Linked DNA regions of Oryzias latipes. The main gene of each other region encodes a partner of the protein of the gene in region 2 in a complex. Links are inferred from orthologs where the notes say so. Each region holds a gene or a part of one and is shown on either strand. Other genes may lie near its edges.

What was found. Proteins that work in one complex are often made in the same cells at the same time.
Region 1: exosc7 (region 2) and exosc4 share a complex: the UniProt entries of both Homo sapiens proteins name them as parts of the RNA exosome core complex. The link is inferred for Oryzias latipes from reciprocal best matches to the Homo sapiens genes EXOSC7 and EXOSC4.

The regions. Positions count from the first base shown.
Region 1 is NC_019875.2:26,758,931-26,764,714, forward strand, and holds exosc4 (exosome complex component RRP41), read right to left. Parts: upstream 3,313-5,784; 5' UTR 3,249-3,312; coding exon 3,078-3,248; intron 2,323-3,077; coding exon 2,116-2,322; intron 2,031-2,115; coding exon 1,674-2,030; 3' UTR 1,558-1,673; downstream 1-1,557. UniProt on the Homo sapiens protein: Non-catalytic component of the RNA exosome complex which has 3'->5' exoribonuclease activity and participates in a multitude of cellular RNA processing and degradation events.
Region 2 is NC_019869.2:5,727,156-5,733,330, forward strand, and holds exosc7 (exosome complex component RRP42), read right to left. Parts: upstream 3,533-6,175; 5' UTR 3,451-3,532; coding exon 3,394-3,450; intron 3,301-3,393; coding exon 3,199-3,300; intron 3,127-3,198; coding exon 3,032-3,126; intron 2,351-3,031; coding exon 2,185-2,350; intron 1,114-2,184; coding exon 1,043-1,113; intron 964-1,042; coding exon 840-963; intron 766-839; coding exon 610-765; intron 541-609; coding exon 436-540; 3' UTR 372-435; downstream 1-371. UniProt on the Homo sapiens protein: Non-catalytic component of the RNA exosome complex which has 3'->5' exoribonuclease activity and participates in a multitude of cellular RNA processing and degradation events.

The DNA of each region.
Region 1 (5,784 bases), on a different chromosome or scaffold from region 2:
GCTGCCTCTGTGGCTACATAGTTAGGCAGTAGCAGAGGCTATAAATCGAAATCCATTCCTTTTTCTGACTTTTAGCCAGCATAAAAACCTGAGAACCGCAGTGATGTGGTCGGTTCTCCTGGCTCTGACAGCAAAGTTCTGAATGAGCTGCAGCTTTGTTGTCTTTACTTATTTTTCAAGAGGAGCATGTTTCAGTCATCCAGCCTGCACGAAATGAAAACTCTAAAATCTGGACATGGGATCTCCGAATCTCAATATTTGATTGATTATGTAGATATTATTTAGTTGTGGTCTTAATCTGAAATCTGATATGACTTTATGATGATGATTTCTAACTTAACTATTACTGTTTTTTCCTATAGGAGAAACAGCCCTTCAGTCATATTTCATTAGACGTCACTTTTAGCTCGGAACCAGACATTGAAGAAAGCTACTTTAGACAGAGGAGCATGTTGGGATTCACTCTCACTAACTCCTGCACTGATTTTTGGACGAATCCATGAGCTTGTACCACCACGCAGAGAAAAATACAACCGTTTTAGAATCATTTAGACTTTTTTTTAGCTGGTGTGGTCGTGATAAAAATAATTATAACTACAAATATTAACATAATGTCTTCTGACTCTCGTCGTTTCATTCAACTTCATGAATGATGGTTAGCTTAATGCTGCTAGCTTCGACAGAACAGCATCGTTAGTATTTAAAAATATATACCATCCGTCAAAAGTGTAAACGTTGTTTATAAATGTGATATATTTAAGACGTAAAAAAATGTACCTCAAACCTAGTCACACTTGCAGAGGCGACGCTTCCACACCAGGGCTGCTGAAGTATTTTGTTTCCTTGTTCCCGCGGGAACGTTAATTCTGTGGACCAACTTCCGGTCTGAAAAATGCATATCCGGTCAAAAATGAAATACATCTCTATTTATCAAAATATTCCAGAGGTGGTGTAAAATGTGATTATTTAAACTTAGTCACGCATCTTTTTGTAATAATCAGTGAAAATGTACTTTAATATGCAATAATTCTAATAAAGATTTATGTAAGAAAAGTTACTTTAAAAAGTAAGTTACATTAATACCAATTTTGTTTCAGCAGGTAAAGAAAATGATAGATTATTCAGCCTCAACGGACTGAAACTCTTACAAAACATGTATTGTATTGTGACATAAAAATTACTTTTACAACAAACAAAAGCAAAAGCAGAATAGCCTGTCTGCAAAACAAATCAAAGAAAATTAATCTAAAAAAAAAAGACTAAACACATGAACAGAGCATTTCATTCAGGAATAAAAAGTATTGTTTTGGTGAAAATTTGTAAGATATCAACACAGCTAAATAAATTGGATATAAGAATTATCTAATTTTTCACAAATTGTTTACTCTTACGGATGTGTGGTTTAAAATAAAGGTTCTTATTGTATCAGTCTGAAAACAAAGCTTTATTATCTGTTTATATATAAAATGCTGATGTTGCTGTTTCAGTTGATCACATTGATTTTTGCATCAAAAACAGGTCAGTTTTCAGCTAATAAAACAAATGCAAATACAAAGAAACGATATACATTCACATTTATTCTTTATGCACAAATATACTTAATAAAATGTTAAGAATGACGACAAAATAAGTGTTGATCCCAGGAAACCATTTGTTTACTCTTTCCTTCACCATTATTCTCTGAGCGTAGAACCTTCTTGGAGATGTTGCCTGACCACCTGGTCCAGGACTTTGCTCACACCTTTACAAGCGGTCATTGCCGCCTCAATCAGAGTGTCGAGGTGATCCTGATGCAGTCTGGCATCCATCTGGACCAGAGCGATCTGCCCTCCGCGGGGCAGAAGCGCCAAAGCCAGAGAGCTCACTCCTCCGCTCTCCTCTGCGTAGCAAAGATCGGCAAGAGAGGTTTCATCCACGAAGCCCACTGTGCAGGCGCACACATAGTCCCTCATCGGTATCCCTGCGTCGATCACTGCCAGTGTGGCGGCGTTCACACAAACGCTGTAGTTCCCCCCGTCGGACTGAAGAATCTTGAATGATGAAAACGTTCTTAAAACAATGACGAAAACAGATGCTATGAAGTAGAGCGCAGTATACTATAAATCTAAGGCCAACCTTGACATAGATGTCTATCTGGGAGCGTGGGTAGAGCTGGGTCAGCACGGCAGCTTCAAACGTTTGCTTGAGGTGAAGGCTCATTTCTGTGGACTTGCGGTCTCCGTGCGGTCTCCTCTTCCTCTCCGCCGTGCTGAAGGTGGCCATGCTGTACTGGCAGTTGATAATGGCTCTGTCATGAAGAGCCCGACTACGAGCACCTCGAATCTGAATGGGAAACAGGAAGTAAGCATAGGAGAACCATAAAAAAGGTCTGACATTTTTCACAGGGCGGCATACATCTGTCCTTTGAGTAAAACAGCTTTTTAATCCATCATCAGAGGTAAACCAGACAATAAAAACGCCAGACATGGGAGAGTTTGAGGTCAACGGCACAGATGAGCAAAAACAACATCTCAGGTTTTCCATCAGAAATATCGATGTTCTACAAGATTTAGGAAAGACTTTCAGGACAGAAAAGATAACCGTGAAACATTTTGGGTGATGTGCCTCGCATCACTCTAGTGTAAAACATTGCACAAACAGTCAAACATGGTGGTAATGGTGTCATGGTAAGGGGCTGTTATATTTGGGGCTTGGAATACTTTTGGTAAATGAATAAATTAACCAACAAATCCTCAAATTAACTTGGATTTCTCAGCAAGTCAAAGATTCAAAAGCAGTAAGTTTACCTCAGAATAGCATAACAAGTTCAAAAACTCTTGAATGCAGTTGTTAGTAAGTACTGTGTGACCGAGCCAGATAAGTAAACATTTTGTGTTACTGATACAATAAAATGCTTTGAAGGAAACGTATTATACTAAAATCATTACATTAATGTAAAATATCCCTTTAAATCTGACACATTACATAGAAATATCTTAATCCTTCATTAAACGCAGTTTGCACCGTTTCTTTGGCTGCCATGAACAGACTGGTGGTGTTGTTTTTACGTCACTTCTCCACGCGCGCGCGCCACTCACTTCATGCGGGCCGTAAACCACCGCCAGAGCTTTGGTGTTTCCTTGCTCCAGATACGCGGAACCGTCGGCCTGAGCGAACACCCCCATGCGGGCCTGGACTTTGCGCAGCTCGGTAGCTTTTCTTCCATCCAACCGGTATCCTTGATCAGACAGCAGCTCCAGACCCGCCATTTTCCCTAGCTTAACTACACGACAACACACGTGTCTACTGATGTACTACATTAACCATCATCCTCTTCGAGCAGTTACAGCAACGTCGGAAGAAAGTGTCGCAAAAAAGATTTCCATATTTATTTTACTTAGATGGTTTAGTAACAACTTCTTACTGGAAAAGTAGCCTAACGAAACATTTAGAAAGCCTTTTTTCTTATTTTATATTATTTTTAAATCTAACTGATACGTCAGAACAAAAGAAGTAGATAAATGCGGAACTACTAGTACGCGAGTCAAAACTAATTAATAAAATAAATTAAAATCAGGAGCTGAGAAATTACACACGGCATGCAGTTTTTACATTTAAGAATTCTGACTTTAATCTCACGACTCCGATTTTTAATTTAAAATTACAAGATAAAATAAGACTTTAAGCATTTTAAGTTTTAGGAATTCAGATTTATAAATATTTTCAACACAATAAACACTTCATTTAATGTCAGAGTATTGACATAATCTGATAAAGATTAATCATGATTTTAATAACTATTGTTTTTTCTTGGGAATGTCAATTTTAAAATACTGTCTTTAAATATAGAATTTTGATATTAGAGTACAGCAACATTTTCTGAAATTACTATAAGAATTCTTTAAAGGACACCTGCAGATTTTCTCATTTTCTTTTATTTTATTAATTTTTGCCCCTGACATCTTGACAAGTTTTACAGGCGCTGCAGTTTGTTTTATCTTCTGTCTGAAATCAGAACCCAAGTCAAAGTATATTTATTTTTCCAAAACATCTTGGTTTTCAAATTTTAAAAAGTAAATCCAGTGTTAATCTTTTTAAATAAAATGTTTTAGCATTTTTGTAAATTATACAGAAGATATATTTTCATTTCTGATGTTAAAAAGGATTCAATTCTATTGTCATTTATTTTTCTAGTTTAATTTTAATATTTTTGAGCGCCAATCGTTCGTGATCATTTTAAATCAGATCAACATCTTTCACTTTTTCATATTTAAAAAAAAATTTGTGTTAAAGCATTTGATAATTTACAAATATGAAGTAGACTTACCTTGTAATGCCATATTTAAAATAAGTTTTTTGTGTGTTTTTAAATTGATTACAGAGTAAAGCTTTTCACCTTTTAAAACGTGTTTAAATTGACTACATTTTGGCCTGCTTTGTTAATATTTCAGTCACACAAACTGCCTGCCAGCATTTCACTTTAAAGCTTTTATCAGATCTCAGACGACATTCCAGCCTCATCTTCCATCTCTTCATTCTGTTTGTTGCTTCATTTGTTGTCTTTTTACCTTTAGATTTGCTTTAATATCGCATTTAACATCAAAATCCTTTCCATCGATAAAGGTATGAAGATGAAGATGAAAAGATGAAGCCTAAGAAAAGGAGTACAACTCAAACCTCAAGAGTTTTAAAAATAAAATTTATTAGCATCTCTAATGTGTATAAATAAAAACATATATGAAACAATGCATATACGTATAATGCAATGAGCTCAACAATAACAAGATTATATGTGATATGACGGAGCGGTCTTTCGTTTAGCCAGTGCATCGTGAGGAAAAGTTTTTACCTTGAATTCAAGCTTTCAAACACATAACTAGAAGTTGCAAATCTACATTCTTTGATAAGAATGAAAAACTTCAGGGGCGGTAAAAGACAGGAGATGGTATATTTATTATTTTTGCCATCCTGCTTCTTGGGTTTTTTTTTTTTTGAAACATTTCTCATTGTGGATTACGTTTTCTCGTTAGAGCTAATAGTGTTGAGGTACAAAACCCAAACACTGTTCACACGGGTTGTTGCAACTTTACAAAAACACTCAATAAAAATCGCCTTTCATTCTTTTCCATTTACAGAAGTCTCACTGTTCCACACAGACTCGTAACAAAGGGTCTAAAGCAGACCTGAAACCTAGGGATTACATATTAAAAACAGTGACAAAGAAGAAAAAACAAAAAAACAATATAGCAAATGATGACGTTTACGTGGAACTAAGACCCAAAGGGATCACACAAACAAGTGAACCTTTGCTCTACAAATGCAAGGTTTGTCATTTTCTGCAGTAGCGTGCTGTGCCGGGGTGGGATGGTGGAGCGGAGAGCGAATGGAGGGGGGAGGAGTCTGAGGACGTGACTCTCTAAGGCAAAGCAAAGAAAGGAAATGGCCTCTCTTTCTTGTGTGACTCCGATTTTGTTTCCTATTTGGTCATGCTTTAAACGCCGCACGTGTTCGGACGTCTTTCAACTGACGTACAAACCACAGAAGTACCTCTGATGTGGACTTTTAGTTACACACTGCTGATGGTGGGAGGGAAGACACAAACAGCCACAGGAAGGTCAGTGGCGAGCGTAATTGGCCGCCGCTTTTCCTGAAAGTCAACGTATGTCAAACTGGGGTTAAAAAGAGACCAAAGTAAAAAAAAAAAAAAAGAAAAAAGTATGCATTCAAAAAGAAAAGAGTGATGTGTCTGCTTTAATACCCAGGTGTATGAGACAGTGAGAGGTTATGGGCACCTGAGGATTGTGT
Region 2 (6,175 bases):
CGCTGATGAGTGTCGGGTCACCTCGTTGCTGGAGAAGGCGAGGTGAGCGAAACGCTGAGGTCAACACGGTCCCCAGGGTTGACTTTGGTGGAGGCGGAGCAACAGTCTGGTGGCGGCAAACCCATTTGATGGTCCAGTCCCGTTCTTACCTCAGAGACATCATAGAACCATCATCACCCACTTCCTGTGGTAATAGATGATAATGTTCCACCACATGGTGCCAGAAGCTGGACCTCGGGAAGTAGGTGTGGCTTCATATGGTGTGGTCAGCAATGACCCCTGACCTGAAGCCCATAGAGCAGGTCTGGGACAGCTGAAGCACAGACTGGATGATAGTCTTCTTTTGAAGGAAAAATACACTTAGACTAAGATTTATAGAAAATGTTAAATGTGCTTTATGTAAAAAAAAAATGAAAGTACACAGTAAAGTTTATTTCAGCCAAGAAAGCCAACTTTTTCTCTCTTCTTTCCCAGACTCTCTTCCTGCTGCAGCAGCTTCATGAGTGGAGCGTGAAGAGCTTTCCCGACTCGTTTGCCCGCCTGCACAAACAAAAGAACATTAACTTTATTCTGAAAGGTCAGGGTCGTTGAAAGGTCGTCTACTCTCACCTCTGTCATTTCGAAGATGCTCTCTGGATCCAGGCTCCCGCCGCCCACCTTTTTGACGCAAGTCACCGTGCCCCTGTGCGTGACGGCGATGATGAGGCTCGCCACCGAGCACGCCTTCTCCTGCAGAGTCGCGTCCACTACGTGTCTGTGGCCCACCTGCTCAACGACAGCCACTCTTCACAAACCGTCGCGTTTACGACCACGGACTTCACCTGCGAGCAGCGGCTCACCTTACACAGCGTCACGATGCAGGGAACATTTTCCACGCTCAGCCTCACGCAGTCAAACGGGTCGTCTGAAAGCTCCACCTCCTTCCCGCCTTCATCGTCCGACGACATGTGGACTCTAGGGATTCTGGGGGAGAAATGATGGGAGCACAGGATGAGCTGAAAACGTCTCCAAACACGACGAAATGTGAAAAACTGATACACACTTTGTGTTGAAGAGTGCCGCTTTGATGGCGACAGAGATGGCGTCGTACAGGTTGCCGTCACACTGCAGCAGCTGCAAACAAGACGATGCAAACGCCTTTATGAAGTGGTGGTTTTTACAAATCATTTGAGGCCTTTGAGGTGAAGCTCCGCCCCTTCTCAGGCCGCATTTCTTCTAACTGGCTGACTGACTAAGTAGACCTCACTTCCTCATTACACATCAGCTGCCTTTCAACTCATTTAGTGTTTCTTGAGTCCGACAAACCTCCTCCATGAAAAACAAACTGCATCCACTGCAGGCCGGTATGACTATTTGGGGTTTAAGGAACAAAAAATAAAATAAAATACATATTTCTTGATACTTTCACAAGTTGAAGTGCTACTATGGAGTTACATCAGTGTCTCTTAATTATTTTACCCAACTATGAAGAAATGACGCTTAAAATTAGAAAGAAAAAAAAACAACAGCATATAATTATGAAACTAGAATAAAAAAACTATAAACCTACAGTGAAAATGAAATAAAATTAATGTTTATTAGAAACTGGTATGTTTTTGTTAGTTAAACAAACGAAAAAACCAAAACTTCACTATATAAAACGGCAGCTGCTACAAATGAAGATCATTTTTTATTTGGTAACATTTGTAAGTTTATAGTTTTTTTAGTTTAAGTTTTAAATCTACAATCTTTGTATCCAATTTTCTGTATTTCTTCAAGTTTAGAATGTATAATTTCAAGTTTAACACCATTTCAAAACATTCTTCTTTTTCTTTTTTCAAGTTTACAACCTTATTTTTTCTTAATTTTAACCTGATTTGACCCCATCTGCTACCCCTCAGCAGCACAGCAGACATACTTCAGCATTTCATTTTTAATGCATACAAGGTAAACAAAACACTTGCTTAACTTTATTTAAAAAAAAAATCTAAATGCAGCAACAAGTTTTTCCTAAACAAACAAAAAACATGTAAATGTCTACTTCAACCTGTTTTTTTAACCCAATTTTTTACCCAAAATTCTAAAAAACTTAAAAATCATAAGATTTAGCATTATTACTGAATTTACGTCTATTGTTGTTGTGTTTATTGTTTTATTTTTAACATTTTTATGTTGTGTTTATATTTTTATGTTAAAGAGACTCACCAGGACATCTACATAGAGAACCCAGCAGTGCTCCCCAGCACTGATGCAGAGGCCCTTCAGGTCTATGCTGTTCTTGTTGTTGAAGACTCTGTAGAGAGTGTTGCTCAGCTCGATCCCTAGCTCCTCACCTCCTCTGCCTTCAAACTCGGGGGTGGCGTTGGCAGAGCTGGGGGTGTTGGGGAAAAAAATGTCAGGGAATCAAAAAAAAACATCAAACATTGACAATAACTCAGTTTGGTTCCGATTCTTAAACCAGAACAGCCCGGCATGGTCCTCATGAACACCCTCTACGTCTTAAAGCTGAATACCTGGATCAGGTGAGTTCAGCCAATCGGAATGAGGAGTTACAGAATCAGAAGAAAGCGGAGAGAAGTGGGGAAAACTGAGTCAATGGTGCAACAGTTAATCCCAGCAGTTATTAGTTTAGGAGTTTATTATCCTGCAAGATGATTTAAACAAAAACAGATATCCAAAATAAACTTTATTTTTAAAACATCCTCATTACTTTAAAATGCTTCGCAGGACAAAGACATCCTTCAAACTTCAAAAACAAACACAAAAAATATTTAAACATGCATTATAAGCTTTAGAACATGTAATGATCTCAACAAAAACATCAAGAGAGACTTCCCAACTTAGCCAAAAAGAAATCAAATATGTAACGGTTTAGGGTTCAGGTATTTCTAATATTTATATCAAGCCAAAAATGCAAACATTATTCATTTTAATAAACTATAGAGGCTATTCAATGTTTTTCTTTACTGTTTTGATGCAATACAATTCTGTCAAATGTCAAATTGTGCACATTTTGATGTCCAAACCTGCTTTAAATGCACACTAAACCTACCAATCAACAAAGAACTCCAGGTATCCTTCATCTGGAACCAGTGGTCTTGGTTTTCCTATTTCTGCTTTAATCCCAACCAGGACGGCGGTGTGTCCCTGAGAAGCACGATGGAAGGAAAATAAAGACACTGTTTCTGCGGATCTTTCACACGTAAATGTTGATTTTACCAGGGAGACTCTGGCAGATCCATCAGTGTTTGAGACCACATCCGTCTCCACTTCCATGTGTCGGTAGTCCTCACAGCTTCTTCCATCCACACGTAAATCATCCTGAGGAGAATACAAACATCCACATCTTTAGGTTGGTGTGACAACTTCACAGACATTTAGCTTAATAGAGCACACATTTCTAGAACAACTCACTCTTATTCCGTGTAGAATGTACACCTTTTCAGCCTCGCTAACTTTAACTGTTGCCATGTTAACTCAACAAACAGAAGAAGAAGAAACGGTGCCGGGAGGCTCTTCTTCTACAGTTTTCTCGATGAAGGAACTATGTCGCCACCACCTGGAAGAAGTGGGAGCTGCTGTTCAACATCACAAAATTTAATAATAATAATAATAATAATAATAATAATAATAATAATAATAATAATAATAATAATAATAATAATAATACAAAAACAATAATAATAATAAAATAATGACAATAATAATACATTTTTGAGAGTAATCTTTTTTTTCTTCTGTGTAGGAATGTAGATGCTTGTGCTATGTTTGTCCATATCATAAAGAGTATATAGACAGTTTTAAAATATATTTCTATTTAATTATATTCAGATTTTTTTATATTTATAAATGCACATATACAAAACAAGTTAGGGTGAACAATCGTTATAAATGCGCATATTGAAAAAACAAAACAAAATTTAAAAAATATGATAAAGGCAAGGCAAAAAACAATTCAAAATAACAGTACGTTTGATATATTTTGATAAATTACTGTAGTTTTCTTGTTTTTGTTTGGAATGCATTTAAGACACTTATAATAATCAGAAAAGTAATTCAAAAAATACCAAACAAAGGGCATGTAGTTTTCCATTTACATAAATGAATGAAATTTTTGCATTAAATAATAACAACATTAATGACATCAGAAATTCCTGGGTCCATATTTTCCATATAGAAAATAACAACAGATAAGGAAAAAAGGGAATATTTAAAACTTTGAGTGACAACCAATTGTGAATATCAGTCCAAAATATTTTTATCTGTAACTGTAACAGAGATGTTCTAACGTTTCAGTTTCAGATTAACAGAATAGGCATGGCTCCGATTGAAATTTGAATCTTTTATGTAAAAAAATCTCCAACAGGGTAAATTTGAGATATTATTTTAAAATGCGTTTCTTTCATTTTAGGTGGAAGTGGGTACTTTGTGTATAAAGAAAAAAATGTGTTCATTAGGGTGGTTTCTAAGTCCCGTCTATTGTTTATACTAAAGTTGCAGAAAGTTATTTGTTTAAAGGTTAGAGTTACTAATTTATTGGTGCATTTTTTTTTCATCTTTTAGGGGAATATCATTAATTTTCAGATCTGTAAATTGTGGTTTGATTGCATTGTATTGTAGTATGTATTGTCAGAAATATGATTATTTGGGTGTTTTTTGGAAGTACTTGTAAAAAAAATAAAATGATTTTAAATGGAAGAAAAATTGCCCTGCGTTTTGGCCAAAGGGGTGGATTTAATTTTAGACCATAATCTGATTGGTCAGTTTACAGGAAGTCCTTCCCGGGTTCTCTCCTGACAGACCATACCCAGGGCGAATCTACTAGGGGTAATCAAACTTCCTGGTTGGGTATGGGTGCGTTTTTATTCCTCCCGCAGAGATTTCTGGATGAGACCCTTCAAGAAAACATAAAATACAGTGACTTATTAAAGTTTAAGTCGAAGAACTAGCTAGCAAATTACCTTGTTAATTAAACGGAGACCAGAAACCAGGAAGAAGCCATTGAGTACACGCGTTAGCGGGGATTTAGCTAACGATCACAGCGGGCGGGGCGGACGTGGTTCGATTCCCTAAGGCTTCAGGAAACGTGAAATCTTCTGGATTCTTGACAACAAAGCTAAGAGGGTGACAGGTGGGTTGTTGAGCCAGAAAAAGGTTTTAGCTGTAAATGTGAGATGTGTGTTGTTGTTTTTGTGATTAGCTTCCAGAGCTCCCGCTCTTGCTGCCAGAGCAGAGGGAACTTCCGGGTTGACTCAACATCCTGTGGAGACGGTTCAATTAAAGTGATAATCATGGCTTCATCTCTGTTTTTGCCCATTTGATTGAAGCTCAGTCTGTCGTCTTAATTCTTTTTTGCCATAAAGTACTAAATCAGTTCATTTTGATTGACAAATTCATGTTTTGAATCACATCTCAACCCGACACATGAGCAAATTTCCATAAAAAACATTATTTAAAAAGAAGAAACGGTTTAGAATAGGGAAAAAAAAAACTTTATTGATCCCAAAACAGGAACATTAATTGATGACGTTTGTTTTTCACATAACTAGTCATATAAACTGAACAAAGATAGAAGTTTCATTCATAAAAATAAATAAACAGGTGAAAACATTAAAAAAAAGAAAACATTTTTTTAAATAAAGTTTAACTTGGTCTAAATAATCAAGATTAGATTTTAGTTTTATAAATGTAGATTAAATATATGCATGAGTGTTGCATTAAAAAAAAAAAAAACTTCCTGCCACTAGAAGGATTTCCTGTTTGGAGTTTGCATCTCGTTTTCTTTGGATCTTCAGCCTCATCTTTGTTTTTCAACGTCAGGTTGATCAGTTTTGCTAGTTTTGCTAGTTTTGGTCTGTTTGTAATGGTTGTTTTAACTCCTTTTTGCTTGTGAGGCCTCCTGTCCTTCCCCTCACGCTGCAGAAGTTGGCCTGCATGATCTGTATGGAGACTCTAATTTACTGATTGAGATGCTTCTATTTAAAACTGTAGGTTTTAATCTGAAATCTTTCAGCTCCAATGATAGCGGTCCACAGTAGCTGTCATCTTCTCGCAGTGCGAAACATCCCTATCAATTATTGATCTCTGAAAGTGCAGCTCACATTTCAGATGAGAATAAATCTGTTTATTTCCTGTGGTTTAATCTGTGGTTCTGCAGAGATAACCCGTTCCTTTGTTCTGGGTTGATGAGCGGTTA